Stegostoma tigrinum: one gene and its partners. The protein of the gene in region 2 purifies or fractionates together with the protein of the main gene of each other region. This does not show direct contact. Links are inferred from orthologs where the notes say so. Each region holds a gene or a part of one and is shown on either strand. Other genes may lie near its edges. The genes, in order: nup133, nup85 and nup37.

Region 1 (10,420 bases), on a different chromosome or scaffold from region 2:
ATTATTTATACACCATAATAAAACAAAGTTACCTTCAGCTAGGGTTATGGCCTCCATAACCTTAACAGGAAGAGAAGATCCAAAACTCCTGATTTCATAGTTGAGCGTCTCGCCAACTGTTTGATACTGTGCTCCTCTGGTTGGAGTTGGACTTGAGGAAGAAAAAATAATTCCAGTCAAAGTTCTCCATTACTATACTTGAAACAAATGCAGTCATACTTGGCCTAAGTATATTCTTACCGTTCAAATTTAGCAAATCAGTCAGAAACAATAGCAAATGTTCTACAAGAAAAAAATACTAATTTCACAGGGCCAAAGGAACACAGAGCTCAGAACGGCTAACTTTTTTTTCTAGTAAACTTCAGATGAGTCCAATAGTAAACAGCATCTGTGTAATCTCACTGTAATATAAACAGAGATTAGGGAATACCAGAGAGGTCAAACACAGAGATATCAAACTATTGAGTGAGAAAGGAAACTAAATTTCATTTGCGAAACTAAGATAACGTTATTCAAATTCTAAAGAAAAACCAAGTTTGCAATACTGGTGCCAGAATGATAGAATTCAACTTTGCCAGTACATTGAAACAAATTGTCATGTGAACAATACAAAGTATTTGAAAATGTATGAAGTCAACAAAAGTCCACATTCTGTGCTTGAAGCTGTTAATCTGCATGACACCTGAACATTTTTTTGAATAAACCAGTCACTTTACATCATAACTCTGTGGCTAACATATGCTGAGGAGGAAAACTGAATCCCTCTCCTGGTGGTAGTGGTATCTGAAAGGTATGATTCCATCAGTACAACTATGTCAGATTGTTGCTTATTTAATCTACAGAACAACTTTCCAAATTTTGATACATCTCTCCTGATGGTGGTAAGGAAGAATTTATGGATCAAAAGGGTTGTGTTTGCCATTGCTGTTTCTGGTGCCTAGGTCAACATCTTTCTGCGGTACCAAACTCCTGTCACTATGCAAGAGTAGTTTCTTCTCCCTTTGTGTTCTAACGGACTATTCACTACAAGGGATATTTAAACAGCCTAAAATAAACACTTGTAAACAAATAATCAATAACCCAGCACCTCTCTCAGAACTCAAAATCTAAACTGTAACTAAAACCATGTTTTCTCCGTTCCTGAAAGTACAAGTCAAACTTAAAGCTACATTTGGATCTGTTCACTTCAGAACCCAAGTTTCCAAAAATTGATCTAGCATAAACCCTCATCACAATAAACTGATCACTTACTCTTTGAAGGTAAAGAGGTTAGCTTTGAATTTAGCCACTAGCACAAACATTACCTAGTCCATTTACAACTAGATTAAGTAAGTGAATCACCTCTCATTTCACATCTTCCAAAGAATATGCATGATTTAAATAAATGTTGCACATTATCCAAACGCTCTATTTTCTCAGAGATAGTAAGAACTGCCAATGCTGGAGTCTGAGATAACACAGCGTGGAGCAAGAGGAATGCAGCAGGCCAGGCAACATCAGAGGAGCAGGAAAGCTGACATTTCTGGCTTGCTGTGCTCGTTCAGCTTCACACTGTGTAATCTCTATTTTCTCAACAGTTCCAAATGCTCCTTTGAATAGTTGCATTATCCTAAATGTGGATCATACCAATTTATTAAAGCCAGGATTACCTGTCTGTGTTACACTTTCCAATACTGAGTTCCATTCACCATACTTTCAAAAACTCCTACAGCACAACCTGACAAAACGATGCTGGCTTTCCTTGATTACTCCTTGCTTCTCCAAATGAAGATTAACTCTGTCCCACCACTGATGTTAGGCTCACTGACCTACAGTTCCCTGGTTTATCCCTACCACTCCACTGTACCACATTAGCTGTACTCCAGTCCTCTAGCACCATTCCCGTGGCCAGACAGGACTGAAAATTAAAGTCAGGACTTCAGCAATTTCCCCTTTGCCTCCCACAGCAGCCCAGGATACATCTCACGTGGGTCTGCCCTGTCTAAATCTTTCTTACTCTGTCTACACCATTTAGAACAAAGAACAAAGAAAATTACAACACAGGAACAGGCCCTTCGGCCCTCCAAACCTGCGCCGATCAAGATCCTCTGTCTAACCCGTCATCTATTTTCTAACGGTCTGTGTCCATTTGCTCCCTGCCCATCCATGTACCTGTCCAAGTATATCTTAAAAGACGCTAACGTGTCTGCGTCTACCACCTCCGCTGGCAACACGTTCCAGGCTCCCACCGCCCTCTGTGTAAAGAGCTTTCCACGCTTTTCGCCCTTAAACTTTCCTCCTCTCACTTTGAACTCATGACCCCTAGTAATTGAGTCCCCCACTCTGGGGGGGGGGGGGGGGGGGGGGGGAGAGGAAGCTTCTTGCTACCCACCCTGTCTATACCTCTCATAATTTTGTAGACCTCAATCAGGTCCCCCCTCAATCTCTGTCTTTCTCATGAAAATAATCCTAATCTACTCAACCTCTCTTCATAGCTAGCACCCTCCATACGAGGCAACATCCTGGTGAACCTCCTCTGGAACCTCTCCAAAGCATCCACATCCTTTTGGTAACGTGGCAACCAGAACTGTACGCAGTATTCCAAATGTGGCCGAACCAAAGTCCTATACAACTGCAACATGACCTGCCGACTCTTGTACTCAAATATTTAATATTGGAAAAGTTGAAATCCCAATGATCATCACCTCTATTATTTCTGCACATCTCTGAAATTACTTCTACCTTTGCCTAATTATTAAAGGGTCCTCTCGTACACTTCCATCAGGTGATTGAAGCTACCTTGCTGAATGTTTTTAAGGCAAGGCTAGCTAAATTTTTGGACAGTAAAGGAATTAAGGGTTATGGTGAGTGGGCAGGTAAGTGGAGCTGAGTCTCAAAAAGATCAGCCATGATCTTATTAAATGGCAGGGCAGGCTCGAGGGGCCAGATGGCCCACTCCTGCTCCTAGTTCTTATGATTGCTGCTGTTTTTTAATTCTACCCATAAGGCCTCAATTAAAGAACTAAGAAATCATCCTTCTGTAAAAGAACAAAAAACCTCAAAAAGTGACTCCTTGATCAATACTGCAACATTACCACCTTGCTTCTACCCACTCATCTTTTACCTGAAAATATTGTTGCAAGATTGCATCCTTCTTCCTACCCATGTCCCTGGCATCAATATGAACCACAACCTCAGAAGTAGAAAGAGCTGCCGATGCTGGAGTCAGAGATAACACACTGTGGAGATAGAGAAGGCCTGCTCCTCTGATGCTGCCTGACTTCCTGTGTTCCTGCAGCTCAGCATTAGTGTTATCTATGAACCATAACCTTATTGTACACCCCTAAAGGCCCTGAAGCTGTTCAGTGACATCCTTGACCCTGTCCTCAAGAAGCTGACACACTATCCTAGTGTCACAACCACAGAAATTGCTCTCTATTAAGTCTTCAACACTACTGCCCTTGCTTTCATAGTATCCCTAGCGTGAAAACTGGCCTTTTGGCCCAACAAGTCCATACTGACCCACCCCCCTAATCTCCACATCCCTGAACACTATGGGCAATATAGCATGGCCAATCCAACTAGCCTGCACATCTTTGGATTGTGGGAGGAAACCGGAGCACCCGGAGGTGCAGACACGGAGAGAACGTGCAAACTCCACACTGACAGCTGCCCGAAGGTGGAATCAAACCCAGGTCCCTGGCACTGTGATACAGCAGTGCTAACCACTGAGCCACCGTGCCGCCCCATTTCCTTCTGTTCTCCCAGCCCTGGACTTGTGCAGGGGTAGAGATAATGGGAACTGCAGATGCTGGAGATTCCAAGATAATAAAACGTGAGGCTGGATGAACACAGCAGGCCAAGCAGCATCTCAGTGCTCCTGAGATGCTGCTTGGCCTGCTGTGTTCATCCAGCCTCACATTTTATTATCTTGTGCAGGGGTAGCATCACTTTGATGCTTTTCTAGCACAAAATCTGCTGGCGTGTGAGATACGCCCTGGGGGTTTCCTCATTACAGGCCTGCCCCCGCGACTCCCCTTCGCCCATCCCCTGACTGCACTTCACTTTATGGTAGGAGGTGAATTTAAAAACATGTCCAGATGTGACCAGGTGATAGTCAAAGCTGGTGAGACCTGTGCTCATCAGGAGCATCGAGAGACTTCCCCATAACTCAGCCTGTACAACATTTCAGCACCGCGCTCCCCTGATTAAGGTGGTTAGTGTCGCACAGTGTTTTGTGGGATCCTGCCGTGCCAGGGACGTGACAGGCGCCAGGCAAATGCAGCCCTGACAACACTCACCGGCCGCACAGGCTGGAGCGCCAGGACGGAGAGAAAACGCCGCTGGCCGACACACTGCGCCGGCCCTGCACGGGAAAGCCGCCGCCGCTCCGGGTCAGCGGCGACCCAAAGCAACTTGAGGGGGGCCGCTTGGCACCACCAGGAGCCCGCGGGGAAAACATGCTGCAGACAGCGCGGGCCCCGCCGTTTAGGCCTCAGGCCTCCCGCACTCGCCGCCAAACCACTGCGCCTGCGTGACCCGCCAGGCACTGCAGAGTCTGATTGGTCACATTGGGGCATGGACGATATAAACACATTCCTGATTGGTGCTAACTTTAGAGATAATGGGAACTGCAGATGCTGGAGAATCCAAGATAATAAAATGTGAAGCTGGATGAACACAGCAGGCCAAGCAGCATCTCAGGAGCACAAAAGCTGACATTTCGGGCCTAGACCCTTCATCAGAGAGTTCATCCAGCCTCACATTTTATTATCTTGGTGCTAACTTTACACCCGTTGTAACGGAAGCTCCCATTGGTCAACAGCTGCCGGTGATGCTGTTTGACCTGCTGTGCCCCTTGTTATCCCAGAGAGAGAGAGAGAGAGAGCGGTCGGACCAAGGTGAAGACAGTCAGCCTAGGGGAATATATAGCTCTGTTGACTGCCATCAATGGCTAGTGTGTAATAGCAGACCATGGCATAACAAATAGGACCAAATTACTGCAGATCCTGGCACTTGAACTGTAAACAACAAATGCTGGAGATCACAGTGGGTCAGACAGCATCCATGGCGAGAAAACCGGACATTGGCCAATGTTGTCTCCTTGTTTAAGAAAGGAAGCAGGGATAATCCAGGAATTATTAGGCCCCTGAGCCTGATGTAAGTGGTAGGTAAGCTCTTGGAGAAGATATTAATGGACTTACTGAGTAATCAGCTGGAGGTTTCCTTGCCCATGTTTGACCTAAAGCCAGGACACCTCTTGGGGACCAGTCACTGTTATAGACAATAGGTGCAGGAGTAGACCATTCATTACGATCATTGCTGATCATCCACAATCAGTATCCTGTTCCTGCCTTATCCCCACAACCCTTGATTCCACTATCTTTAAGAGCTCTATCTATCTCTTTCTTGAAAGTATCCAGAGACTTGGCCTCCACTGCCTTCTGCGGCAGAGCATTCCATATATCCACCACTCTCTGGGTGAAGTTTTTCCTCAACTCTGTTCTAAATGGCCTACCTCTTATTTTTAAACTGTGTCTCTGGTTGAGGACTCCCAGGGCTACTCCCTCCCACCTGTATACCACTGTGCCCCCCACCTCTGCTGGGTCTACCCTGCCAATGAGACAGGACATATACAGGGATGGTGATGGTGGTATCCGGGATGTAGTCATACTCACAGAATCATATCTTACAGACAATGTCAAGCTGTTGCTTGACTAGTTTGTGAGACAGCTTTCCCAATTTTGGCACTAACCCCCAGATGTTAGTGAGGAGGACTTTACAGGGTCAACAGGGCTGTCTCTGGTGTTGTCTTTTCCGATGCCTAGATTGATGCTAGGTGATCTGTCTGGTTTTGTTTCTTTGAGACTTTGTAGTGAATGGTGCAACAGAATGGCTTGGTAAGCCATTTCAGAGGGCAACTGAGAGTCAACCACATTGCTGTAGGCCAGATCAGGAGGTGGCAGATTTTCTTTGCTAATGGACATAAGTAAACCAGACAGGTTTTTCCCCAACATTCGACAATGATTTCATGTCGATCAGTAGGTTTTTAAGTTCCAGGTTTTGTTTTCTTTACCTGTGACCGGCTTTCAAGTCAGGGTTTATGTGGCTTGTCCAGTTGAGGTTCTGATCAATGACCCCCAGGATGTTGATAGTGAGAGATTTAGTGATTGTAATACTGTTGGAATGTCAAGTGACGATGGTTAGATTGTCTCTTACTGGTGATGGTTATTGCCTGGCACAAAGGTTACTTGCCAGCTCTTGATGTGTTTGAACATGGACTGCTTCAGTATCTTAATACTACAAACATTAACAAACATCCCCACTTCTGACATTATGATGGAGAAGATTATTGAACCAGCTGAAGATGGGTGGATATAGTACACTACCCTGAGGACCCTCAAGCTGAGATGACTTAACTTCAACAACCACAACCACCTTTCTACATGCCCAGTATGACTCCAGTCAGTGGAAAGTTTGGCCCCAACATGCATTGATTCCAGTTTGCCTGGGGCTCCTAGTGGCTACAGCAGGGACCAGTGGCCCAGTGTGGAGTGTGGAAGCCCCCTGCACTGGAATGCTGTGGAGAGACTGTGATGTTTGTCTTTTTAACGGTGTTTCTTATTTTTCTGACCATGGTCGTACTATGTATAGCTGTAATGTAACATTTTTTCTTTCTTTTTCTACTCTATAACTAAGGATTGTATCTAAAGGTGGTGCTGTAAGTAGTGATTTATAAACTTTTTACTGTTCATTTTAAGTACATATGACAACAAGGCTAATTTAATTCTATTCAATTTAATTGATGCCACACTTGGTTGAATGTGGCCTTGATATCAAGGGCTGTCACTCTTATCACTCCTCTGGAATTCAGCTCTTTATAGCCTTTGATTCAAATATGGCCAAATGAGGTTACGAGCAGAATGGCTCTGGCAGAACTCAACTAAGTGGTCCTCAACAGATGCTGCTTGAAAGCACAATTGATGACACCTTTGATCATTTCACTGATGCAAGTAGACGAATAAGTTGGATTTGTCTTGCTTTGTGGGTACAGGACACAAGTAGGTAAGTTTCCACATGTTTGCAGCATTGCATATGACACTGTTATTTCTCCCTCCTTTCAATTTCTGATGTTGTTAATCTGTCTAGTACTTCTCCAACCTGATTCTTTCCTGCTTTTTCATCTTCTGTCGCTAACAATACATCGTCATGCTGCTTTTCCTAATTTCACTTCTTCATTTCAGCTGAAAGCTCTCAAGATGCTGGGCTCCAATTTTTCTGTAAATTCTTTGGTCCTTTGCTCAGTCGACCTGATTCCCATTCTCATTCACCAGAGCCATGTTTCAGAAGCTGCATCCCTGTTGTCTTCAGCATGGGAAACTATACTTCTGAAGTTTCACTGGACCTGAAATGTTCACTATGCTCTCTCACCACAGCTGGTGCCACATCTAAGTTTTCCAGCAAATTTCTTTTGTTATGAGAAGTAAACAAAGACTCAATTTAAAATAGGTCAGAAATTGATTGTTTTAATTTTACTGTAAAATTGATACTACAGATTCTCAAGGGTCAAACTTTTGTGAAGCAATTAAATTCATATTTATAACCACTCAGGATTGATTGTTCAATCACACTTCATCTATTAATCAAACATTTCACAAAATACAGTCTGTACAATGGTGAGTTTCACCAACTATTTCAAGTGTTTTACTTCATTATCGCAAAGGAATTTAGTATCCCTTGTACCATCTGCAGAAAGTTACAGAACAAATGTGAGACTACTCCGTCCTTAAAAGATGGTTCCCAAAATAGATTAAAAATGTTTTTAAAACTGTGGCAAAGAGAAGCTTTGGCAATTTAAAAATCTGCTTTTATCTTTCCCAGAGTCACTGTCAACCTTTCCTTGTATGAGACCTCACGCTGAAGACTTGTCCAACAAGGCCATGGAGAAACTGTATAGATTGTGACGCAGGCTTCCTCATTCTGTGGCTCACATTTGATATCTTTCACCATTTACTTCATTGCTACAGCTGAGATCCTGAACACTGTTCAGAATTACAAGTTTCATAACCTATTTAATAATCAGTGCTGCGATTAGTCAGAATCCAAGGCATTTCTCGGCTGTTTTGACCTGGAGGTATTTTTTTTCCTAAGAGGAGTAACATTTGGGAGCATTATACTTTCAACACAAGTTTTTGGTGGTTTTGTGAAATAGTTTGTTTCTCCACAAGCTTGCGAAATAATCCATCTGAATTTGAGAGGAGTTGCTGGTGGGTACCACACTCAACTATCCTGCCCTGGTCAAGGACTGCAACAGCATCAGCATTCTGGATGGTTGATAGACGATGGGCAATGATCAGCACAGTCCTTCCTACCATCAATCGGTCCAAAGCTTCCTGCACCAAATACTCATTCTCCGAATCCAGTGCACTTTAGAGAGAAGAAATGTAACAGCAAAATGAATAAGACAAAACAAAAATCAAATTAATCAAAATAAAATCAGAAAATGCTGGAAAAATACGGGTCTGCAGCATCTATGGACAAATTAACAGAGCTGAAATTGCATAACTTCTGAATTGAGAGGAGTGGAAAATTTTGTTTTTTTTTTAAATGCATCTGACAGAGGGGGTAATAGTGTGAATGGAACAGATGATGATGGTGCCTAGACCAATAGACAGAAATTAGGTGGTAAAGTAGCAAGCTTTAGAACAGCTGGAAATGACAGATGCAGTAAGGAGAACATGGGTCCACACTGTTGAGAGTGAAGCAAATTAGCCACAAATAGGGCACAGTCACAGTCAAAAAATAACAGAAGCCATCCTCTGATGTTCTTAAACACAATGTTGAGTTTTAAAGGTTGTTAGGTGCTAAGCAGAAAATGAGGTGTTGTCCCTCCAGTTTGCATGGAGCTTTGTTAAAACATGGTAGAAGGACCAGGACAGAAAAGGGAACACGCCAATATAAAGACCATCGCATTGTGAGCAATGAATGCAGTGGACTAGATTGAAAGTAGTATAATGTTGCTTCATCCGGAGGGTGTGTTTGGAGCTGTGGAAAGTGAGGAGACAGGTAATGAGAGGACAAGAGTTACACCTTCCACGATGGGAACAGTGATGATTAATGAGGGTGGAGGAGCTCCTGCAGACTACGAACATTATACTTTTACACAGAATCATCTGACTGTTATGGTCCAAATGAAATTTAAATTCACTCGAGATCAAGATCAAAGTAAATTTAACTTCGAATAAACTGCTGTCAAGTTACTGAAACCATACAGTTTCCAAAAATATATTCTTTCTGATAGGGTGCATAGGATATATTAACACTGATTTAACTGCTTACTTCATTCCCCAAATCCTGAAATTTAGGCCCATTTTAATAAGCCACACATTTATTTAAATAATTAGTTGAACCAGAGTGAACCTGGGGGTAGGACGGTGGCAGTGGAGTTTCCTGATAAAAGCTTGAAGGGCAGGGCACAGATCAAACTCAATCAGAGCAGCAGCAGCTCAGGAATGGAATGAACCTACACAGAATCCAGGGGCAGAGCTGCTGAGGTGATACAGGGTGAAAACCCTGGCTGCTTGGGGACCAGCTGCAGGGACTGAGTAGATAGTACAGAGAGTGAGACCGCGTGTTAGGAGTCCTTATTTTTGTGGTCTGCAGTTTGTTCGGAATAGAGCAAGACAGATAAAGAGAAATCAGATTTTCAGCGTAGTGGATACGGTTGATTACTTTGTTCCTAGTTTATTGTTTGTTGCTGGTAAGGTTCACAATGGCAAGAGACCTTGGCTTTGTGCAGTGCTCCTCCTACAATATGTGGGAAATTAGAGACGCTGATGAGGCCATCTGGGCAGAGTTTAGAAACCAATACAGACGATCATTTTGCTGGGATTGTATTACAGGCCTCCCAACAATCAGAGGGAGAGAGAAATGACAGGTGTGACAGGAATAGGGTTACAGTAATAAGGGATTTCGACGTGTGTTGGCGGCAGTGGCCCAGAGACAGTACCCATCTACCTTCTGTCCTGCCCACACATACTTTAATACTTGCCCCTCATCCCCCAGCACACACTACAAAAAGGGGGACAATCCCTCTTAACCCACAGCCCCCTACTAGCCTGGGTCCAGGATTCCATTCAGCCTTCTTCTTGGGACTCAATTCCAGTTCCAGTAGTGCCCATTACCCAGGTCTGGTACTGCCAGAGATTCCAGCAGCTCCAGAGGTGGAGCCTCTTTACTCAACATTAATCTTTTCACAATAAGGCACTCACAGTTAGACAGGGTGGATTTTTGAAAGTGTACCCAGGAGAACATTGGTGCCAGTACATCAATAGAGATAGGACAACGCTAGGCCTAATCTTAGGGAACAAAGCTGGTAAAGTGATTGAAGTGTCATGGGCAAACATTTGGGGAGAGTGACCATAACTCTTAAGTTTCACAG
Region 2 (11,055 bases):
ACAGAACATCAAGTCACATCTTGTCAATCAGAAGGCCTTCTATCTCGACTCTGTCTCCTAACTCCCAATTTACAAGGTTACGGTACCTTCATAATTCTGTGTGCGTACAATTTGATTAAGAATTCCGTGGAAATTTATCAAGCCAAAGTCCAGAAAGACAACATGCACAAGCAATTGTTATTGATTACCTCAAGAAATTCAATAAATCAGTTAGACACGTCCCATCACTGTCAAATTCACACTGCCCCTTTCAATTCAAATTGTGACTCAGTTCTCAATCATTGACTAATAAAATTAATATTCCCACAACTCTCATTACCTTGATGAATTTGTAATTATGACTTTCTCTCTTTCATTCTTCTATTGCACAGAGATCATTTATAGTTTTCTCATTATGTAACTGAAACATGCCAAAATGTTCAAAATATTCCATTTTATTTCATATTTATAGTATACTTACTATTGTTACATTTACAATTTTTCAATTACTTTATTCACTGTGGTGTGTGTGTTTATGTGTATGTTGAGAGGAGTCTAGTCAATGCTCAAAATATTTTTAAAGAACCCATAGGATTTGTCTCACACTTCAGTTTTCCTCCTTAGTGTTTAATTTACTTCAGGCATTTTATTGCCATTTTCCATTAGCTGGCCTGAGAAGACAATTACAGATCTACAAAGGATCTTGTCAGCCTCTCATACTAGCCTTCACAATTTCCTACTGCACAGTCGCCACACTTCATAATGATCTACTTTGCTTTTGAGATGCAAAGAAGCTTGTGAAAGTACACTACAAATACAAGCCTGTGTTTCTTATACCCACTAACAGATACTGCAAAGGAGAACCAGTTCCAATTAATCCCCTCCCTACCTCCCCACCTACACTCTCTCCACCTATCTTCTTTACTCTCCATCTTCGGTCCGCCTCCCCCTCTCTCCCTATTTATTCCAGTTCCCTCTCCCCATCCCCCTCTCTGATGAAGGGTCTAGGCCCGAAACGTCAGCTTTTGTGCTCCTGAGATGCTGCTTGGCCTGCTGTGTTCATCCAGCCTCACATTTTATTATCCCAGTTAATTCGTATTAGTTTTTTGCAACAAGCAAAATACCTGAAGATAGTAAGCCATGTGTTATATTTCAGAGTAAAAGAAAATCTTGAAGTCCGTTTCTACTCACTCTGCTCTCTGGGTTGTGCAATCGTGTTTGGATTTCTGAAGAGTCATGAAGATGCCATGTGACTCGTTGAAAAGTTTACACAGAATTGGTGAGTATATATCTTTGTCGCTGTAGACAACTTGAATGGAGGGCATTCTTGGGGAGCTGTCTGGTGCAGTCTCTGGGGTATGAACAGAAAGGAGGGCTGGGAAATGCAAATGTATGGTCTGCATAAAGCATACCAGACAATAATGCTTTTCAGCTACATTTGATTAGTCAGAACAATTAGAAATGGCTCTCGTAAGGACCTAGTGAATGAAACCACAACATATCACAGCACTAAGCCATGAGTCTGAAAAATTTAACATTTGATTCCAAATCTATTTTCTTAGTTGATCTCAACCAGGGAGCGACCAGTTTCCAAAATATTCACAGTCCATCTTTTATATCACTGCACTTAATCAGAATAATCCAATATTATTCACCAGTTTACCACATACCACCGTGCACTTTTTTATCCAAATCAGTCCCACTGATTGACTCTATCCCCAAAGCAGTATCTTTCTTTTTAATTATTTAAACATTTTGTGACGCTATTTGTCTCAGCTATTCCCTTCAGCAAAGTAATTCATGAGCCCAGTATCTAAAAAACGATGTGCTGGCATTGGAGGGGGCTCAGAGGAGGCTTACAAGAACGAGCATGGGAGGAAGGGTTTGTTGTACGAAGAGTGGTCAAGTACTCTGAATCTGCACTCAAATGGAGTTTAGAAGGCCTTGGGGAGAACTCACTGAAAGTCACAAGATAATGAGGGGCCTAGATAGAGTGCATGTGAAGAAGATCTTTCCACTAGCAGGAGAGACTAGGACCTGGGGCACAGCCTCGGATGACCCTTTAGAACGGAGGTGAAAAAGAATTTCTTCAGCCAGAGGGTGGTGATTCTGAAACTCAACGGCACAGAGGGCTGTGGAGGCCAAGTCATTGGATTTATTTAAGGCAGAGATAGATAGGTTCTTGATTGTTAAGGAGATCGAGGCTTGTGGGGAGAAGCAGGAGAAGATTTAGAAGCATATCAGCCATGATCGAATGGCAGAGCAGACTTGATGGGCTGGACGGCCTAATTCTGCATACACATCCTATGGTACTTCACACTTTAATGACATTCAAATCCTGTGATGCCTTTTTGACACTAACTTTCAAAGCAGTCAAGTCTCATGCAACTGGAGTACCCCCAATACCATGGTGAACCAACCACGCTCCCAAAAAAAGTCTGTACTGTAACACATGGGCTTAATGCTTACCTTAAGCTATTTCTCTATCCTGCTCCCTATGCAGGGTCTGATAGATATGGATCTTCCATTCATTTTACATTATTTCCATTCTTTTCCTTTTGGTTCAGTCAATGAAATTTTTATTCCAAACGATTCATTCTCATGTCAACGAAATGGAAAAATGTAAATGTATGATATTTGCAAATAGATTGGAGTGAACTGTGCCAGGACCGAATAATGCAATGATATTGTACACAAAAATGGTTTTTACTCCCATTTTGCCTTAATATAGCCATCCAATTAATTCCATTTCTCTAATCTTCCATCAACTTCCATATTTCTAAATATTATGATTGAACCCATTTTCATCACTTTTTTCAGGCAGTTCATTTCAAGTCACAACAATACATATTATGTCACGTTGCTTTTGGTTCTTTGTCAACTTCTTATCCTTACTTACTTTTATCACGTGTTGGAGTGTACGCAGAAGTATCTCCATTTAGGCTTTAAAATCCGATGCCAAAATTTGTCAGGTTAAAATGATTGGGACAAGAGCAATTTCTCATTATTCTAAATTACTTAAGGTTGTTTAAAAATAAATAATCAGAAAATCACAGTACCTGTCTGATCATGCCGTGTCGGATACAGCAACATTTGAGTAGGGCCCCATTCAAACCCGATGAACTCTCCAACATCCACTCCTGGAATATCCTAGGAACAACAACAACAGAGAGAAAATTATTTATTTGAAACTCTGTTGTTGGAGAAATATTTTACTGTCTCTCCGAAGAACCGCTGATCTGTCAGACATTGATTTTCAAAAGAAATGTCTGTCCTCATCAGGTGAATACAAAAATACCCTTGAACGTGACTGAAAGATAGCAGGTAAATTCACTTCAACATTCTACCCAACATTTGTTCAACCAGCATCACTAAGACCGGAACATCTGGTTATGTTCATGTGTGTAGGTTCTAACTGTGAGCAATTTGGGCGTCGCATGACATCAGCAACAGCACTTCGAAAGGGAAGGCCGACGTGCATTTTAGTAGCATATCCTCGAACATCCCAATTTGGCTTACAACCGATTAAGTATTTTTGAAGTGTCGAACATGTTGTAGAAAAGGATAATCAACGAATAGTTACACCACAGGAGATTAATTGGCCCACCAGTCCGCGTTGCCTCTGTAAAGAACCTCGGCCATTTCTACTTTCTCAATTTTCCCTGCAGTTTCGCAAAGAAAATACTCCGCGGACCTCAAAAGAGTTTGGGGTGTTTCGAGGTTCTGTTTAAGAGTAGGTCTCCCTCTCTAAAAATGTTCTACCAGGCTGCGGTCCCGGGTCACACGGGAACAACCATCCGATTGTACAACAACTGCTCCGGAGACACTCTTCCTGGCACTGTCTAATGGACGATCGGAAAAAAACTTTCTTCCTCTGTCGAATCCCACCTCTTCGTCTCCCTCACCCTCACCATTGGGATCGGCTCATATTCCTGAAGTGAATCCTCCATCGCGCTCCCTTGGTCACGCCGCGCCGCCCGCTCATCAAGGACCCCATCACTGGGGCGGCCTCTTAGTTGCCTGATCAGCTGATTGTATCCACCACTGAACCACAAACACGCGGTTTCAACAAATGCTGGGCCTGATCTAAATGTTGTCAAGCGGCGACGGTTGAAGAAAATTCCGCTAGTTTCCCAGCATTAACGAACATCAGATAAAACGTGGTCAGTGCTACAGACTGGACCAAGATGAAAAACAGCTAATAGCCCAGATTCCGAAATCACCTTTAGCGAGTCTGTCCTGTTCCACTGATGGAGCAAACCCACAGAGTCAGTTGTATCTTAGCGTCTTCAATGTAATGAAACGAACTTTTCACTGGAACATCATAAAACAATATTTGACACATTAAGAGATATTAAAACAAACCAAAAGCTTGTATCAGAGAAACTATTTAATGAGCAACCTAAAGAAGGAAAATAAGGTAGGTGGGATGAGGGAAGATATTCCAGAAATTAAGATCCAGTCACCGTCACACAAGGGACCAGAATCGAAGATGACATTATTTGGAGGTGGTGGAAGGACTTGATAGTAAGGTTGAAAATTTTGAAATCAAGACATTGCTGGTGTGGTAGACAACGTCGATCAACAACCAGGAGATGGTGTGTAACTTGGTGTGAGTCAAGACTTAGGTTTAACCTGAACTCAAAAGAGGCAACAATGTTGGAGAACAACCAGTATTGCTTATAAATGGTCAAGTCTAGAAGTAAACAGGGAGCATGAATGGTTTCCATAACAACTGAGCTGAAAAAGATGATATTAATAAGTAGAGATAACAAAGTGTAGAGCTGGATGAACACAGCAGGCCAGGTAGTGTCAGAGGAGCAGGAAAGCTGACGTTTCAGATCTGGACCTTCTCCAGAAAACGTCAGCTTTCTTGCTTCTCTGATGCTGCTGGGCCTGCTGTGTTCATCCAGCTCTGCATTCTGTAATCTCAGAGCATCAGCAGTTCCTACTATCTCCATACTAATAAGTTGTCTTAGTGATGGCACAGATCTATGAGAACATAAACTCATCTCAAAGTGAAATTTAACACCAAGGTTCTTAATCTCAAGTTGCAGCCAGGAAGAGGGAAGGGGTCTAGCCAGGGAACAAAGTTTAAAGCAGAAACCAAAAATGACGGCTGCAATCTTCCCAATATTGGAAAAAAAATTCTGCACAGCTATGCACATATCAGGTGATAAATGTCTCATAGATTAACAACAGTGGAGGAGTCAAGAATGACGAAGTGGATTTGGGTGGCATGTACACATGAAAACAAATGTTGTAATCACTGAGGGGCATAATGTAAATGAGAAATAGGAGAAAGCTGAGAAACGATTTCTGAGGGGACTCCAGAAGTAACAGTGTGAGACCAAGAAGAGAACATGTGATTTTTAACCGTGTTTAGATATATAAAAACACAAGTAGGTGACAGTAATCTCATCCAGCTGGATGACAGGCAAGAAGAGTTTTTTTATTCATTAATGGGATGAGGGCATCACTGGCTTGGCAGCATTTCTTGCCCGGGGGCAGTTCAGAGTCAACCACATTGTTGTGGGCCTGGAGTCACATGTAGGCCAGACCAGGTAAGGATGGCAGTCTCCTTCCCGAAAGGACATTAGTGAACCAGATGGGCTTTTCCCTGACAATTGATTCATGATTGTCATTAGATTCTTAATTCTAGATATTTTATTAAATTCACATTCCACCATCTGCCAAAACAGGATTTGAACCCAGGCCCCAGAATGTTATCTGGGTTTCTGGATTAACAGTTCAGCAATAATACCACTAGGCCATTGCCTCCCCTCAAGAGAGGATAATATGGTCCACTATGTCAACGGCTGCAGAAGAGTCAGGAAGAATAAGGAAAGAAAGTTTACTTTGTAGCAATTTACCTTTGCATACAGTTGGGAGAAGTGGCTCTGAGAGTCTCAGGCATCTGGTCAAATGGGCAAGGAAACCTCCTGCCGATGAACACCTACTACCTTCCCTCAGTTGAGCAAACCTGTGCTCTAATGTGTTGAATATGACTTGGTGGAAGCATTGAGGATAGGAAGGGCACAGATGATCCCTGCCCAAGGACTGAACGTCCATTAACAGGCTGCCTTGGTAGCACCACAATTGACCAAGCTAGCAACATGTAGATGAGGGTAGTGCAGTTTATATAGTCTACACAGACTTCGGTAAGATCTTTGACAAAGTCTCACTTGGCAAATTGGTTAATTTGTTCATGGGGTTTGCTCATGGCTTAAGAGCTCATGGGATCGGGGGCAGTTTTGGAAATTGGATCCGGAATTGACAATGGCAGGAAGTCTGGGGGGGTGATAGTTGAACGGTGATGTTGAACTCACACTTACGACATTTGTTAGACCTTAGCTGGAATATTGTGTACAGTTAGGAAAGATGTGTATGCATTGGAGAGACTGCTGATGCAAATTTAAATGAATGGATCTAGGAATGAAAAATTTCAGTAATGAGGACAGAAAGAATAATATAAACCCTACAGCGTGGAAGCAGGCCATTCAGTCTATTGAGTCGACAGTGACCCTCCAAAGAACATCCCATCCAAACCCACCACCGTACCCTATCCCTGCATATCCCATGGCTAATCCACCTACCTTACAGATCCCTGAACTAAGGGCAATTTAGCATGGTCAATGGACCTAACCTGCACATTTTTGGATTGCAGGAGGAAACTAGAGCACCCAGAGGAAACTCAGGCAACCTTGGGGAGAATGTGCAAACTCCAAACATACAGTGACCCAAGGCTGGAATCAAATGCGGGCCCCTGGCACTGCATTGCAGCAGCACTAACCACTGAGCCACTGTGCTGCCAATAGTTTGAAGTTGGGACTGTTTCTCCTTCCAGATAAAAAGGCTGATTAAGATTTGATCGAAGTTTTCAAAATCTTGAGCAGTCACATAGATTAGGCACTGAGAAGTCATTCACATTAATAAAACTGAGGTCATAGATATGTAAAAGAAACAGGGTGATGTGAGAAAAACATTTTTCACACAGTGCGTAGTTGGGATATGGGATGCATTCATTGCGTGGAAATCTGGTGAAGGTAAGTTAGGTTGAGACATTCAAGAGGTCATTGGATGATTATTTGGATGGAAATAGTGTGCCAGAATATAGGGAAAACGCAAGAGGTTGGTGCAAGGCAGTGATGCTAATTTGAAGAGCTGGTGCAGGCATGGGGGGATGAATAGCCTCCTTTTGCACTGTAACTATATGATTCTATGGGATTTTTGTTACTGGAAGTCTGTGTCCAGTGTTATGCCAAATGGCTCCATGCTGGATTCTTACTATTGATGATCTAGACATGAGTCTAGGAGGTAAGATCTGTAGTATCAGAGATGACAAGAAAATTGATGGTGTGGTAAATAACAAGAAGGAAAGCCTTACACTACTAGACTATTTTGCTGGGCCAGTCAGATGAGCTAAATGGTAGCAAATGGAATTTTTTCTTGAAAAGTGTGATGTATTTTGTAAAGACTAATAAGGCAAGGGAATAAACGTTAAATGGTAGGACTCCAGAATATACAGAGGAACCTTGGTGTGCATATCCATAGATTCAGCAGGATAAGGTAGCTGTAAGATAATTGCCATTATTAGTCAAGGGATTAAATACAGGTGCAAGAAGTTTAAATGGAGCTGTATATTACGTTAGATCATGAGAGAGGTGCAAAGGAGATCCACTAGGACATTGCCTAGGCTGGAGTAATTCAGCTATGAAAAGAAACATTAGATAGGCTCAGAGATAATGGGAACTGCAGATGCTGGAGATTCCAAGATAATAAAATGTGAGGCTGGATGAACACAGCAGGCCAAGCAGCATCTCAGGAGCACAAGCTGCTTTGTTTTCTTTGCAGCAGAGAAAGCTGAGGGGAGCTGATTGAGCTGTACAAAGTTGTGAAAAATTAGATAGAGAGAAATGTTTCCCCTTAGTAAAGCGGTTAGTAACCAGGGACATAATTTTACGACAAGAAGTTTAGAGACATTTAAGGGGTAAAAGAAAGAGGATAATGGATATCTGGAACCCACTGCCTAAAAGGATGGAAAAGGTAGTAACCCTCAAAACACTTAAGGAGCATTTGGATGAGCGCGCAAAGTCCTAGGGCTGTAATTGTTTATTATCTATGTTAATGAAGAAGCAAAAAGGAATGTATCCAAATTTACTGACGATACAAAAATAGGAGGCATGGTGTAATTGAGTCATAAGGAATTTTCAAGGGATGTAGATGAGTTAGTGGACAAAAACTTTGGTAGGAAGAATGTCTGACATTACCCGAAAGAATTGTTCACACTAGGTCACTTGATATATTTAAGGAGGAGAGAGACAGATTTTTGAAATATAGAACAGTTGAGGACTCTGAGGAACTGACATGAAAAATAGTTGAGGTCTGGGGAAAATCAGTCAGGATCTTATAGAATAGCAGAATAGTCCCGAGGGGCTGAATAGACAAATCCTGCTCCTATGTCTTAGATGCAAAATTGCAATAACTCTACTTGCAGTGCTTTTGGTATGTCCATAAGGACTCTCACTAACTTTTACAGATACACCCTATGATCAACCTGTCCAAACAAAGCTTTTCACTGTACTTGGGTACACATGATAATAAATCAAATCACATCTTTAAATTTTTGGATTGTACCGAGGTATCGATCATGGAAAGTCACCTGATATTGACGGCATTTAAAATTTCAAAATTTTTAAAATTTCAATTTTGAAACCTGAATTGGAAGCCAATATATTCTTGGGAAGGCATTCATTTTCAGCAGCTTTCATGGTACAAATAGGACAATCAGTGATATGCAAAAATGCATGATTTTGACATTGGTCATGGTAATGACACTTAAAGACCATTCGTGGGGATATGGGGTGCAATAGTCAGTTTGAAACAGAGATTCATAGTCAAAAGTAGTGATGAGAGAGACACTCACCAGACTTAATGTTTCAAGTCTGATATGCCTGTTCCTCTTTTCTGAATAAGTTACATCAGACTTGAGAATTAAATCATCTTCTATCTCAATGGATGCTGCCAGATCTGCTGTCTCCTGCATTTTCTGTTATTTCAGATCTTCAATCTGTAATGTTTGATTTTTATAATATGATAGCGTCACCCTTGGCAGTTTTGAAAGATTACCGGAATTGGGAACTGTACAGAAGAACAAATCCCAAGAATGCCCAGAGACCGAACAACAGGGTGTTTTAGATGCAGCTATAACCATCATCAACAATTCAGAACAACTAGGTTTTTGCAATACTCATCAAGCAAAGGGAACTGCACTGATCTCAAGAAGCTTTAGCTTAGTAATGGAAGTTAAAGCACAAATGCAGTCAGTTGCGCTGTTCTGAATGCAATCCATCTTGTTTGGAGTGCATTGGCTATAATGTTACCTCGATCCTCTAAATAGTAAGGATAGAAGGAATTTGAGAGTTCTACATGCTTCAGGTTTGAGAATGACAACACACAAAATCCATGAAAAGAGTGATAATTCCCTGTAAAATAACGGGGGGGGGGGGGTAAAAGGAATTGCCTTATTCACCTCCAAACCCCATCCTTCGAGCCTCCACTTTGTCACGCTTCCCGCCCGCCCCTCCTGCTTCTTCTCGTTTCACCTTTCCTTCACCCAGTGCCACTATCCCCTCCACCCCCCTCTGACCCAAAGCCCCTCCGCCATTCTTCCAACCGTCCATGCACGCGCACCCACTGACGTATTCAGAACCGGCGCTTCGCGGTCACGTGTCCCTCCCGGCGGGAACGCGTTCTTGGACCCCGCCCCTTTCCCGGTCCATCTACCAACCGGCTGGGAGAGACCGTTTCGCGGGAGCGCGCACGTAGTCTGCAGCCAACTTGCGTGCGCGCGAACGAGATGCATCGGGGGCGCGCGTTTGCCTCCCCTCCCCGATTCTCCTGCTCCCTCTCTCTGACTCTTTGTGCTGAGGAGACGCGGGCGAGAAGACACAATGGCGGATGAAAAGCCTAAGGTAACGGGGCGGCATGAGGCAGCTTCGGGCTTAGCAGTTGGAGTCCCGCCTTCCTCCTGTCGTTCTCTTCGTTTCTCGGCCTTCAGGATTTGGTTGTTTGGTTGGAGGCCGCTCCCTCCCTCGTTCGGCCCTGTTTGAAATTTTGCCGCCATATTCGGAGCGGCAGGAGCCCAGGCCTAAGGCCTGAGTCTCACTGGCCCAGTTGTTCAGGCGGAGTGGTCATTTCTGGTATTTAGTTAGAGCCCAATCCCTGCGCTGAAGGCGTGTCGAGGGAATTCCAGAGCCCAGAACCATGTTTATCTCTCTGCGTATTTAAAATAATGACTACCCATTTGCAGTCACCTAAATTCCCAGGCTGTACGTGCCTGATAGATATAATGACCAAGTTATATACTAATATGTAATGGCCATGCTATACCAAAATACACGTGATCAACTGCATCTTTGAATCACACGTTTTTAATAGTAGAGCTATGTATTAATATCAAATGGTGAAGCTCTATTGTGTATGTACAATTGCTGATCGTACCAATGTACCAGTGCCACCCATCTCCCAGGTGAATGTAAAAGATTTTATTTGAAGAATAAAATCTGTTTTGAAGATGGGCTACATAACCAATACTTATTCCTTAATTAACTTTGTCAAAACAGATCACTACCCATTAACACATTGCAGTTTTGGAAGCTGTTGACCACAGGTTGGTAGTCACTTTATATCACATGATTGAGAAAGACTGCAGTATACAAATGCAAGTCTTTTGGGAGAAAAACTCCACTACATGACATAGTGTGTAAAAGATAATGTAATTCAAAAACTTGAGACAACATTGTGATTACAGCATAACTACATATGTGCTAATTAGCTCTCATGTGGAGATGGAAAACATCCGTACTGGTCAGCAAGTTAAAGATACAGTATGTGGGTGGAAAATGAACTTGTGTTACTGGGGGCTTGCTGGGGGTATTGCAGTGCCTCTACCACCATTTGCAGGTGGCATCTAATGTAATGGGTTTATTTGTTACCAGACTCAGTAGCACGTGAGCTTATGTTAGAGTTGTAGCAAGCTGAAATTTGTTTATAACTGAGTCATTTACACACAGA
Region 3 (10,501 bases), on a different chromosome or scaffold from region 2:
ACTGTGTTGACTATCCCTAATCAAATTATTCTTTTCTAGATGATTATAAATCTTATCTCTTATAATCCTCTCCAACACTTTACCCACAACCGAAGTAAGGCTCACTGGTCTGTAATTACCAGGATTGTCCCTCCTTCCCTTCTTGAACAAGGGGCCAACATTTGCTATCCTCCAGTCTTCTGGCACTATTCCTGAAGGTAATGACAACATCAAGATCAAAGCCAAGGGCTCTGCAACCTCCTCCCTAGCTTCCCATAGAATCCTAGGATACATCCCATCCAGCCCAGCGGACTTATCTATTTTCACACATTCCAGAATTGCTAACACCTCCTCCTTGTGAACCTCAATGCCATCTAGTCTAATAGCCTGTATCTCAGTATTCTCCTCCCTGTCTTAAAACTGTGAGCCCTGGTAATTGATGCTTCTATTAAAGGGAACTATTTCCACTTATCTACCCTGTCTAAGCCTCCTTAAGTAACCTCAATCAGGTTACCCCCAGCCTTCTCTGCTCTAAGGAAAACAACTTCAGCCTATCCAAAACAAAAACCAAAAGAACTGCGGATGCTGTAAATCAGGAACAAAAATAAAGTTGCTGAAAAAGCTCAGCGGGTCTGGCAACACAAGTGGAGAAGAAAACAGAGTTAACATTTCGGGTCCAGTGATCCTTCCTCAGAATTGATAGTGGCTGGGAAAATGTCAGTTTATATGCAAAAAATAGGGAGGTGGGTGGGGTAGGGAGTAAACGATATGATAGAGCCCAAAGAGATAGAAAGACAGTGGGACAGACAAGAAGTTGCTAACAATCAGGCTGGGAGGGTGAATAGTTGTAAATGGGCACTGTTAGTGATTAACAACAGGGGGTGTGTAATGGCAGGCTATGTGGTAACAAGGCCTGGTGTGTGGGTGAGGGCTGGGACATGGGAGAGTTTAGGCCCTAAAATTATTCAACTCAATATCGAGCCCAGAGGACTGTAGGGTCCCCAAGCGGAAAATGAGGTGTTGTTCCTCCAGCTTGCACTGGGCTTCACTAGAACAATGTAGCAAGCAGAGACGGAGACATAGACCAGGGAGCAGGATGGTGCATTGAACTGGCAGGCATCAGGTAGTTCAGGGTCTTTTTTGCAGGCAGGTTCTAGATGTTCTGCAAAGCGGTCGCCAAGTCTACACTTTGTTTCCCCAATGTAGAGGAGACCACATTGTGAGCAGCCAGTGCAGTAGACTAGATTCTGGGAAGTGCAGGTGAAGTGTTGCATCACCTGGAAGGTATGTTTGGGCCCCTGGATACTGGGGAGGGAGGAGGTTAATATGCAGGTGTTGAACCTTGGCCAGTTACAGGGGAAGGTGCCGTGGCAGTGTGGGGAGGTGTTGGGAGTGAAGCTAGTGTGAATGAGGGAATCCCAGAGGGAATGGTCCCTGCGGAAGGCTGACAAGGGAGGGGAGGGGAATATGTGTTTGGAGGTGGCAGAAATGGCGTCTGATGATCTGGATGTGGATGCTGGTGGGGTGATCAGTGAGGATTTGGGGAACCCTATCGCTGTTGCGGGAGGGAACAGAAGGGGTGAGGCGGAAGTGCGGGAGATGGGTGAGACCCAATTGAGGGCCCTGTCGACAACGGAGCTGGGGAATCCTCGGGCGAGGAAGAATGTGGACATTTCAGAGGCTCCCTTGTGAAAGTGCGCCTCATCTGAACATATGCGACAGAGACGGAAGAACTGAGGCTCCCTTGTGAAAGTTCACCTCATCTGAACATATGCGACGGAGATGGAGGAACTGATTTCTAGAGGACCGAGGATTCCCCAGCTCCATTGTCGACAGGGCCCTCAGTCGAGTCTGACCTATCTCCGCACTTCTGTCCTCACCCCTTCTGTTCCCCCTCGCAACAGCGATAGGGTTCCCCTTATCCTCACCTACCATCCCACCAGCATCCACATCCAGAAGATCATCAGATGCCATTTCTGCCACCTCCAGCCAGGTGCCACCACCAGAAGCATATTCCCCTCCCCTCCCCTCCCTTGACCGCCTTCTGCAGGGACCATTCCCTCTTGGGACACCCTGATTCACACGTCCTTCACCCCCAACACCTCTCCACACTTCCAAGGCACCTTCCCCTGTCACCAGCGAAGGTGCAACACTTACCCGTTTACCTCCTCCCTCCCCAGTATCCAAGGGCCCAAACATACCTTTTGGGTGAAGTAACACTTCACCTGCACTTCCAAGAATCGAGTCTACTGCACTCACTGCTCACAATGTGGTCTCCTCTCCCCAGTGTGGGGAAATGAAGCGCAGACTTGGCGACCGCTTTGTAGAACATCTATGTTCTGCTCGCAAAAAAGACCCTGAAGTTGCCTGCCACTTCAATGCACCATCCTGCTCTCTGGCCAACATCTCTGTCTCCGGCTTGCTACAGTGTTTCAGTGAAGCCCAGCTCATGCTGGAGGAACAACACCTCATTTTCTGCTTGGGGACCCTACAGCTCTCCAGACTCAATATTGATTGAATAATTTTAGGGCCTAAACTCCCCCATGTCCCAACCCCCCCACCCCACACACCAGGCCTTGTTACCACATAGCCTGCCATTACACACCCCCTGTTGTTAGTCACTAACAATCCCCATTAGCAACTATTCACCCACCCAGCCTGATCGTCAGCAACTCCTTTGTCTGTCCAACTGTCTTCCTCTCTCTTTGGGGTCTATCTTATCGGTTACTCCCTACCCCACCTACCTCCCCATTTTCTGCAAATAAACTGACATTTTCCCAGCCACCATCAGTTCTCAGGAAGGATCATCGGACCCAAAACGTTTTCTCCTCCACAGATGCTGCCAGACCCGGTGAGCTTTTCCAGCAACTTTGTTTTTGTTCAGCCTGATTTTATAGCTGAATCCTTCCAGCCCAGGCAAATCTTGGTGAATACCCTCTACACCCTCTCTAGTGCAAGCACATCTTTCCTATAAGGTGGTGCACACAGTACTCCAGCTGTGGCCTGATCTTACGTACAGCACCATCATAATCTCCCTGTTGTTGTATTCAATGCTTTGACTAATAAAGGCAAGCATAGAAATGTGGTTGGCTCTTAACTGCCCTCTGTAAGCCACCCAGTTCCAGGGAGGACCAATAAATCCAGAAAATCCCGGAAATGAAAATAAACCCATTCATTGCTTGTAAGGTGCCTAGGGAGTACTGCACCCACGCTATGTTTTGATCAGCTCAATTGTTGTTCGGTGGCCCTTGCTCTGCATACAGCATCACAAAACTCAGTTGAAGGTAAAAACCCCAAAGAACTGTGGATGCTGGAAATCAGAAACTGATGGAGGGGGAAAAAACACTCAGCAGATCTGGCAGCATCTGTGGAGAACGCAGAATTAACGTTTCTCGTTCACTGGCCCATCTTCAGAATTGATTTTAAGCTAGGAAAAGGTTTATAAAAATGCTGAAGATAGGGTGGGGGTAGAAGTAAACGATACGTGGAGAGGGAACCCAGGCAGAGAGAAAAAAACATACTTGGGCAGACAAATGAATACAGGTCGGCCTCGAAAAATCAACAGCTAAACAAGAAAAAAGATTAGAATGGAAATCCTGTGGGAGAGAGGAGCAGATCTTCTTCAAGATGAGCATACCTCAAAGAGATGTTTCAGTGCAGCTTTGTTTCTGTGGCACTAGATGGGTTCCGACCTACTTCTCTTCCTTATCCCTTCCTCACCACCTCCCTGTCCCCAAAACAGTCACACGTTCCCAGAAAAGAACCTGCCAGGACAGCCCACCTGAAAGCGGCAGCTCCCCACCACGATGTAGTTGTCGCCTCCGTAGGCGACCAGGCTGCCAGTGCCGCAGTCCTCGAAAGGGTTAAACTCCACCACGTGCACTGTCTCGTCGGTTGGCACCGTGTGCGTGGCGCCCCGCGATGCCGCCTCGTTCACCATCATCGTCGTCTCCGCTTTCCAGTCCCGGAACCCGGGGAGATTGGAGGGAATCCCCGATGGAAAGCTCAGACTCGCCAGGAAAACCCTCAATGGAACGTTCAGACACAACCCCTCGTCGCTGATTGGCTGCCTCCGCTTCGCTTCCGGGAGGAAAGTGCAACATTGTAACGGCAACGCTCTGATTGGTTACAGCTGCTCCGGCCCGGGACTTTTAAATTGGCCTGGAGTTGGGTGTGGGTGAAAAGTCCGTGTGGGATCTATCTTTACCCTTAAGTTGGGAAGAGAGGGATGTAGAGTGAGGCGTTGTGTTAGTGCTGACTTCAGGCAGGGCTGGTTGGTGAGTGAGACAGAGCCAGTGAGAGCTTGGGCACTGTCGTTGGAGATTGGGAGCTGGTCTGCGCAAGTGACAGTTGGTGAGTACAAGAACTGAGGAGTCGCTCGCTTTCAACGGCGAGCCTCAAATTGCCTGAACCATGCTATTGAGCTGGAGACAATAGCAAAATGCTCGCGTTTGCCTCCTTATTACGAGAATTCCAGTGTATTGAACCGAGAACTTGTCTGCCTATATATGCTGAATGAAGTATTTTTAAACACTACTGATACTGACGGGTGTTTTTTTTTGTGTCTCGCGGGAAAGGTATTGGTTAGTGCATAACATGAAGGTTTTTTCTATTCACTTGTGGAATGTGGGCACTGCTGGCCAGCATTTCTTGCCCATCCCTAGTTGCCCTTTGAGAAGGTGGGGGTGATTTTTGCCTTCTTGAACTGCTGGGGGCATTTAAGAGTTAAGAGTCAACCACACTTCTATGCTTGCCTTTTAGTCAAAGCATTGAATACAACAGGGGGTTGACCCTCTGGGAGGGCATTCCAGCATTTTTGACCTAGTGACAAAGAAGGAACAATGATATTTCCAAGTCAGGCTGGTGAGTGACTTAGTGGTGGTGTTCATATAGAAACTTTGTTCAGTGTGCAAACAGGCCCTTTTGGCCCAACAAATCCCCACCCACACTCTCAGCATCCCACTCATTCTTCCTATAACCCACATCCCTGAACACTATATGTGCTATTTAGTGTGGCCAATCCACCTAGCCTGCAACACTTTGGATAGTGGGAGGAAACTGGAGTGCATGGAAACCCATGCAAACATGGGGGGGAAAAATGTGTCAACTCAACACACTGCCTGAGAGTGGAATTGAACTAGGCCCTTGGTGCTCTGAGGCAGCAGTGCTAACCTCTGAGCCACCATGCTGCCCTGAGTCATAGTCAAATTTATATAAAATAGAAATAGACCCATCAGTCCAACTTGTACATTCTGTCCAAATATCCTAAACCTAGTCCTGTTTGTCAGCATTTGACCCAGGCCCATGTATCTGATGCCCTTGCCCTTCTGGGTGGAAGTGGTTGTGGATTTAGAATGTACTGTCTGAGGTTATATGGTTACTTTCTCAGGCTGTTTGTAATAACCTGGAGAAGTTTTAATGGAATAAATTCAGTCTTGGGTGGGTTTTAATTGGGGGTGGGGAGAAAAACTGTTGCTGACCCTTTAGTTATTGGTTGCCATTAAGTTCTGAACTCCAAATCCATCTAGGAACCTGATGGAGGACCCTGACCCAAGAAGTTGACTTTCTTGCTCCTCTGCTTGACTTGCTGTGTTCCTACAGCCTGAAACTGTGTAAGCTTTGAGTCCACCTGATTTGTTTTCTCCCCCCCCCCCCCCCCACCCCCCCAAGCTAGTGACATGGCCTCTTATGTATGATATATCTCCTTACACAACCCTGGACACTTAGGTGGATTGGCCATGCCAAATTACCCCAACTGTATACATAGAACAGTACAGCACAGAACAGGCCCTTCAGCCCACAATGTTGTGCTGACCAGTGATCCTCATGTATGCACTCTCAAATTTCTGTGACCATATACATGTCCAGCAGTCTCTTAAATGACCCCAATGACCTTGCTTCCACAACTGCTGGCAACGCATTCCATGCTCTCTCAACTCTCTGCGTAAAGAACCTGCCTCTGACATCCCCTCTATACTTTCCACCAACCAGCTTAAAACTATGACCCTTCGTGCTAGCCATTTCTGCCCTGGGAAATAGTCTCTGGCTATCAACTCTATCTATGCCTCTCATTATCTTGTATACCTCAATTAGGTCCCCTCTCCTCCTCCTCTTCTCCAATGAAAAGAGACCAAGCTCAGTCAACCCCTCTTCATAAGATAAGCCCTCCAGTCCAGGCAGCATCCTGGTAAACCTCCTCTGAACCCTCTCCAAAGCATCCACATCTTTCCTATAATAGGGTACCCAGAACTGGACGCAGTATTCCAAGTGCGGTCTAACCAAAGTTTTATAGAGCTGCAACAAGATCTCACGACTCTTAAACTCAATCCCCCTGTTAATGAAAGCCAAAACACCATATGCTTTCTTAACAACCCTGTCCACTTGGGTGGCCATTTTAAGGGATCTATGTATCTGCACACCAAGATCCCTCTGTTCCTCCACGCTGCCAAGAATCCTATCCTTAATCCTGTACTCAGCTTTCAAATTCGACCTTCCAAAATGCATCACCTCGCATTTATCCAGGTTGAACTCCATCTGCCACCTCTCAGCCCATCTCTGCATCCTGTCAATGTCCCGCTGCAGCCTACAACCGCCCTCTACACTGTCAATGACACCTCCGACCTTTGTCGTCTGCAAACTTGCTGACCCATCCTTCAATCCCCTCGTCCAAGTCAGTAATAAAAATTACAAACAGTAGAGGCCCAAGGACAGAGCCCTGTGGAACTCCACTCACCACTGACTTCCAGGCAGAATATTTTCCTTCTACTATCACTCGCTGTCTTCTGTTGGCCAGCCAATTCTGTATCCAGGCAGCTAAGTTCCCCTGTATCCCATTCCTCCTGACCTTCTGAATGAGCCTACCATGGGGAACCTTATCAAATGCCTTACTGAAGTCCATATACACCACATCCACAGCTTGACCCTCATCAACTTTTCTAGTCACATCCTCCAAAAACTGTAAGGCATGACCTACCCCTCTCAAAGCCGTGTTGACTGTACTTGATCAAGCCATGCTCTTCCAGATGGTCATAAGTCTTATCCCTCAGAATCCTTTCTAACACCTTGCAGACGACAGACGTGAGACTTACCGGTCTATAATTGCCGGGGATTTCCCTATTTCCTTTCTTGAAGAGAGGAATTACATTTGCCTCTCTCCAGTCCTCAGGTACGACTCCCGTGGAGAGCGAGGATGCAAAGATCTTCGCAAGTGGCGAAGCAATTGCATTTCTCGCTTCCCAAAGCAGCCGAGGAGAAATCTGATCCGGGCCTAGCGACTTGTCAATCTTAATGTTTGACAAAATTTTCAGCACATCAGCTTCGTCTATCTCTATCCATTCCAGCATGCACGCCTGCTCTTCAAAGGTTTCATTCACTACCTTTTGGGCTATGGGAGGAAACCTGCACAGACACAGGGACAATGTACAAACTCCATACAGAGAGTCACCTGAGGCTAGAATTGAACCTGGGACCCTGGCACAGTTAGCAGCTGTGCTGCTCAAAAGAGGGCACTGATACTTTTAGCTTAGTACAAGCTCTCTGTTTATCAATTTAGTGCCACTCTTCCTGCTCCCAGTCACTGAAAATGACTAGTCAGTGGCTGGGCCAGCCCTTCAGAACTACTTCAAGCACTGAGATGCTGCCTTAGAGCTGTGGTTACGCATGCTGTGGATATCTAGAATTTTGACCCAGCCATGCAGAATGGAGGGTGATAATAGAAGGTGGCATGTAGTTTGAAGTAGAACACAAGGGATTAGATGCCTGATGACTGGCTGGAAGACAATCCCATGATGTAAAATTCTGATTTACAGGCAAGGGTTTCCCCAAGCATCTGTTGCTGATGTTCTAAATAGTTGAGGTCATGAGTTTTGGAGAGTGTAGCAGGGCCTTGTTGATTTGCTACTGTGGGTTGGTGCTGGTATATAATCTAAACTTTTTTGAAAGCTATTGAATCTACTTCAATCCTGCTCTATTTTGTGGATAAGTCACTTTAGTGACCAAATTACAAAATTGATAAAATGTCTCCAGGAATGGTGTATATGGAAATGGTTAGATTTAATTTTTTTTAATAAAATGCAAAAGGGTGGAGACTGGGACTAGACATCTGGCCAGGCATTCTGCTGTCCTTTAATCACTCCAAGGGATGGATTGAAGTAGCACTGGCCTTTATAGTTTCCCATTTATCCAAACTCTGCCAAATCATATGCCATTTCCCTTGGACATGCTTTAAACTGGTCTCATACTGCATAGTGACAATAAGATATAGTTGCAGAATTAGGCCATTCAGTCCATTGCATCTGCTCTGCCTTTGATCCTAACTTGTGTTTCTCAGTCCCAATCTCCTGCCTTCTCCCTGTAACCATTGACCACCTTACTAATCAAGATCTTGGCTTAAAGGCACCTGATAATTTGGCCTCCAGTCTTCTGCGGGAATGAGTTTCATGAGTTGCTACCTCCAGGCTGAAGGAACTCCTCCTCATCTCAGTTCTAAAGGGTTGGCCCTTTGCTCTGAAACTGTCCCTGAGGTCCTAGTCTCTACTCTTGGAAATGTCTACTCTATTCAGACCTCTCTATATTCTACAAGGTTCAGTGACATTCCCATGCAGGATCCTAGAGGTAATTTCCTAAACTTCTCTGGAAGTGCCATAATGTTAAGATTTGTAACTCTGGTTGAGGCTCTGGATGTGAGTTTGCTCACTGAGCTGGAAGGTAAGTTTTCAGATGTTTTGTTACCCAGAATGGTGACATCAGTGCTGGTGTTATGTCCCACTTTCTATTTATCTGTTTAGGTTTCCTTGGGTTGGTGATGTCATTTCCTGTTTTATCCCAAGAGGATGGTAGATTGACTTGGAGCCAATGTGTTTGTTGATGGAGTTCTGGTTGGAATGCCATCCTTCTAGGAATTCTCATGTGTCTGTTTGGCTTGTCCTAGGATGGATGTGTAGTCCCATTTTCTTGGTCCCTCCAGAAAGCGGACAAGGGTGGTGATGGAAAAATGGGACAACACATCCATCCTAGGACAAGCCAAACAGACATGCACGAGAATTCCTAGAAGCATGACATTCCAACCAGAGCTCCATCAACAAACACATTGATTTGGAGCCAATCTACCATCCTCTTGGGGATAAAACAGGAAATGACATCACCAACCCAAGGAAACCTAAACAGATAAATAGTGGGACATAACACCAGTGCTTCATTGGAGGCTCACTGTTACCTAGAATGGTGACAAAACATCTGAAAACTAGCCTTCCAGCTCAGTGAGCAAACTCACATCCAGTGCTATAATGACATTGACTGACTGCTGTGGTTCAAGGAGGGTCGCCAGGAATGTTTTGCTGTGATCTCTAGTGTTATATAAATGCTGCAGCATTTATGAGCTGACTCTCTGGTAGGAAAATAGGTTCCTAGTGCCAAACTTGGCTCAGTTCTTTAACTTCAATGTCTTTTGTCCCTTTGTTCACTTAATATGGCATTGACAGGATGATTTGATGAAAGCTGACTGAGAAGAGGATGGAATTGTCCTATAATTGACCATGCTGGATAGCAGAGATTAACTAAAACACTGTTCGTTTGCAGGATCTGGCCATCAGAGTATTCGAGTGGTCATAAATTCACTTTGGACTGCAATCATTTCAGAGTGCACAAATAGTCAATCGCATTGCTTTTGGTCTGGAGTCACATAGGTTGGATTAAGGATACCAGGCTTCCTTCTCTAAGAACATTAGTGACTCAGATGGGAGTCTAGAAATCTATTAGTCAATGAGAATAGCATTTTAAAAATGCATCCTTTTATCAATAAAGATACTAATTAAAAGTAGTAGGACAGTAGCCCACACCCCACATTGAATTAATTAAATTGGCAGTATTATTTGGCTGTGTTGGAATCTGAACTCTCATCTCATCTCTGGATCATGAATTGTGACATCTTGGTTTCTAGCTTGATATCCTATGCACTACAGATTCAACAAATGTTCTGAAGGGATGCACAAACCAAAAGGACAACTAGCAGTGTAAGACTTAGTGGATTGCCCTTTCAAAATTGCCAGGCAATGCATGATGCTCAATAGTCTCCTCCCTCTATGCTGTAGTCTCATTCCATATGATCAAGTTTTTATTAGAATTAACTTCTGGCAAATGTCACACTTGCTTTGCAGAACTCTTTCCCTGTTTGCATTTTGTTGGTTTACTATCCAACTAGGTTTGACACCATGGGATGTCTGCCAGCAATGTACAGTATTACAAGGCTGGAATTTAACTTGAACTTTCTGCAAGGGTTGCATTAATTCCTATTATGTCTGTGGCTTCAGACTAATCGACTGTGACCAATGCAACTGGAGTTAAGCTAGTGTTGTGTAATAGTGTTTTTTACTTTATGCTGAAGAAAAGGAGAATTTAACTGATCTTGTGTGCATCAGTTACTTAATATCTTCAGCTTACACTTATGTAGCATTTTAATGCAGTTATTGTTTCCTTTTTGCCCATGTCTAATAAGTCATGTGCGGCTTTCCCACTAGTTAAGCGC

Evidence for each region.
Region 1: the proteins of nup85 (region 2) and nup133 purify together in Homo sapiens (affinity purification with mass spectrometry; 5 studies listed by BioGRID and IntAct, with this or other methods). This does not show direct contact. The link is inferred for Stegostoma tigrinum from reciprocal best matches to the Homo sapiens genes NUP85 and NUP133.
Region 3: the proteins of nup85 (region 2) and nup37 purify together in Homo sapiens (affinity purification with western blotting; 4 studies listed by BioGRID and IntAct, with this or other methods). This does not show direct contact. The link is inferred for Stegostoma tigrinum from reciprocal best matches to the Homo sapiens genes NUP85 and NUP37.

The regions. Positions count from the first base shown.
Region 1 is NC_081362.1:766,138-776,557, forward strand, and holds the start of nup133 (nuclear pore complex protein Nup133), read right to left. Parts: upstream 4,499-10,420; 5' UTR 4,442-4,498; coding exon 4,281-4,441; intron 152-4,280; coding exon 33-151; intron 1-32. Other genes in the region: abcb10 (ATP-binding cassette sub-family B member 10, mitochondrial), read right to left, coding at 8,151-8,406. UniProt on the Homo sapiens protein: Involved in poly(A)+ RNA transport. Involved in nephrogenesis.
Region 2 is NC_081375.1:37,002,364-37,013,418, reverse strand, and holds the start of nup85 (nuclear pore complex protein Nup85), read right to left. Parts: upstream 3,995-11,055; 5' UTR 3,930-3,994; coding exon 3,891-3,929; intron 3,842-3,890; exon of another isoform or gene 3,742-3,841; intron 3,704-3,741; exon of another isoform or gene 3,563-3,703; intron 3,130-3,562; coding exon 3,039-3,129; intron 2,578-3,038; exon of another isoform or gene 2,449-2,577; intron 1,355-2,448; coding exon 1,171-1,354; exon of another isoform or gene 1,154-1,170; coding exon of another isoform or gene 1,136-1,153; intron 1-1,135. Other genes in the region: small ubiquitin-related modifier 3, read left to right, coding at 9,933-9,953. UniProt on the Homo sapiens protein: Essential component of the nuclear pore complex (NPC) that seems to be required for NPC assembly and maintenance. As part of the NPC Nup107-160 subcomplex plays a role in RNA export and in tethering NUP96/Nup98 and NUP153 to the nucleus.
Region 3 is NC_081371.1:60,076,329-60,086,829, forward strand, and holds the start of nup37 (nucleoporin Nup37), read right to left. Parts: upstream 4,029-10,501; 5' UTR 3,923-4,028; coding exon 3,761-3,922; intron 1-3,760. UniProt on the Homo sapiens protein: Component of the Nup107-160 subcomplex of the nuclear pore complex (NPC). The Nup107-160 subcomplex is required for the assembly of a functional NPC.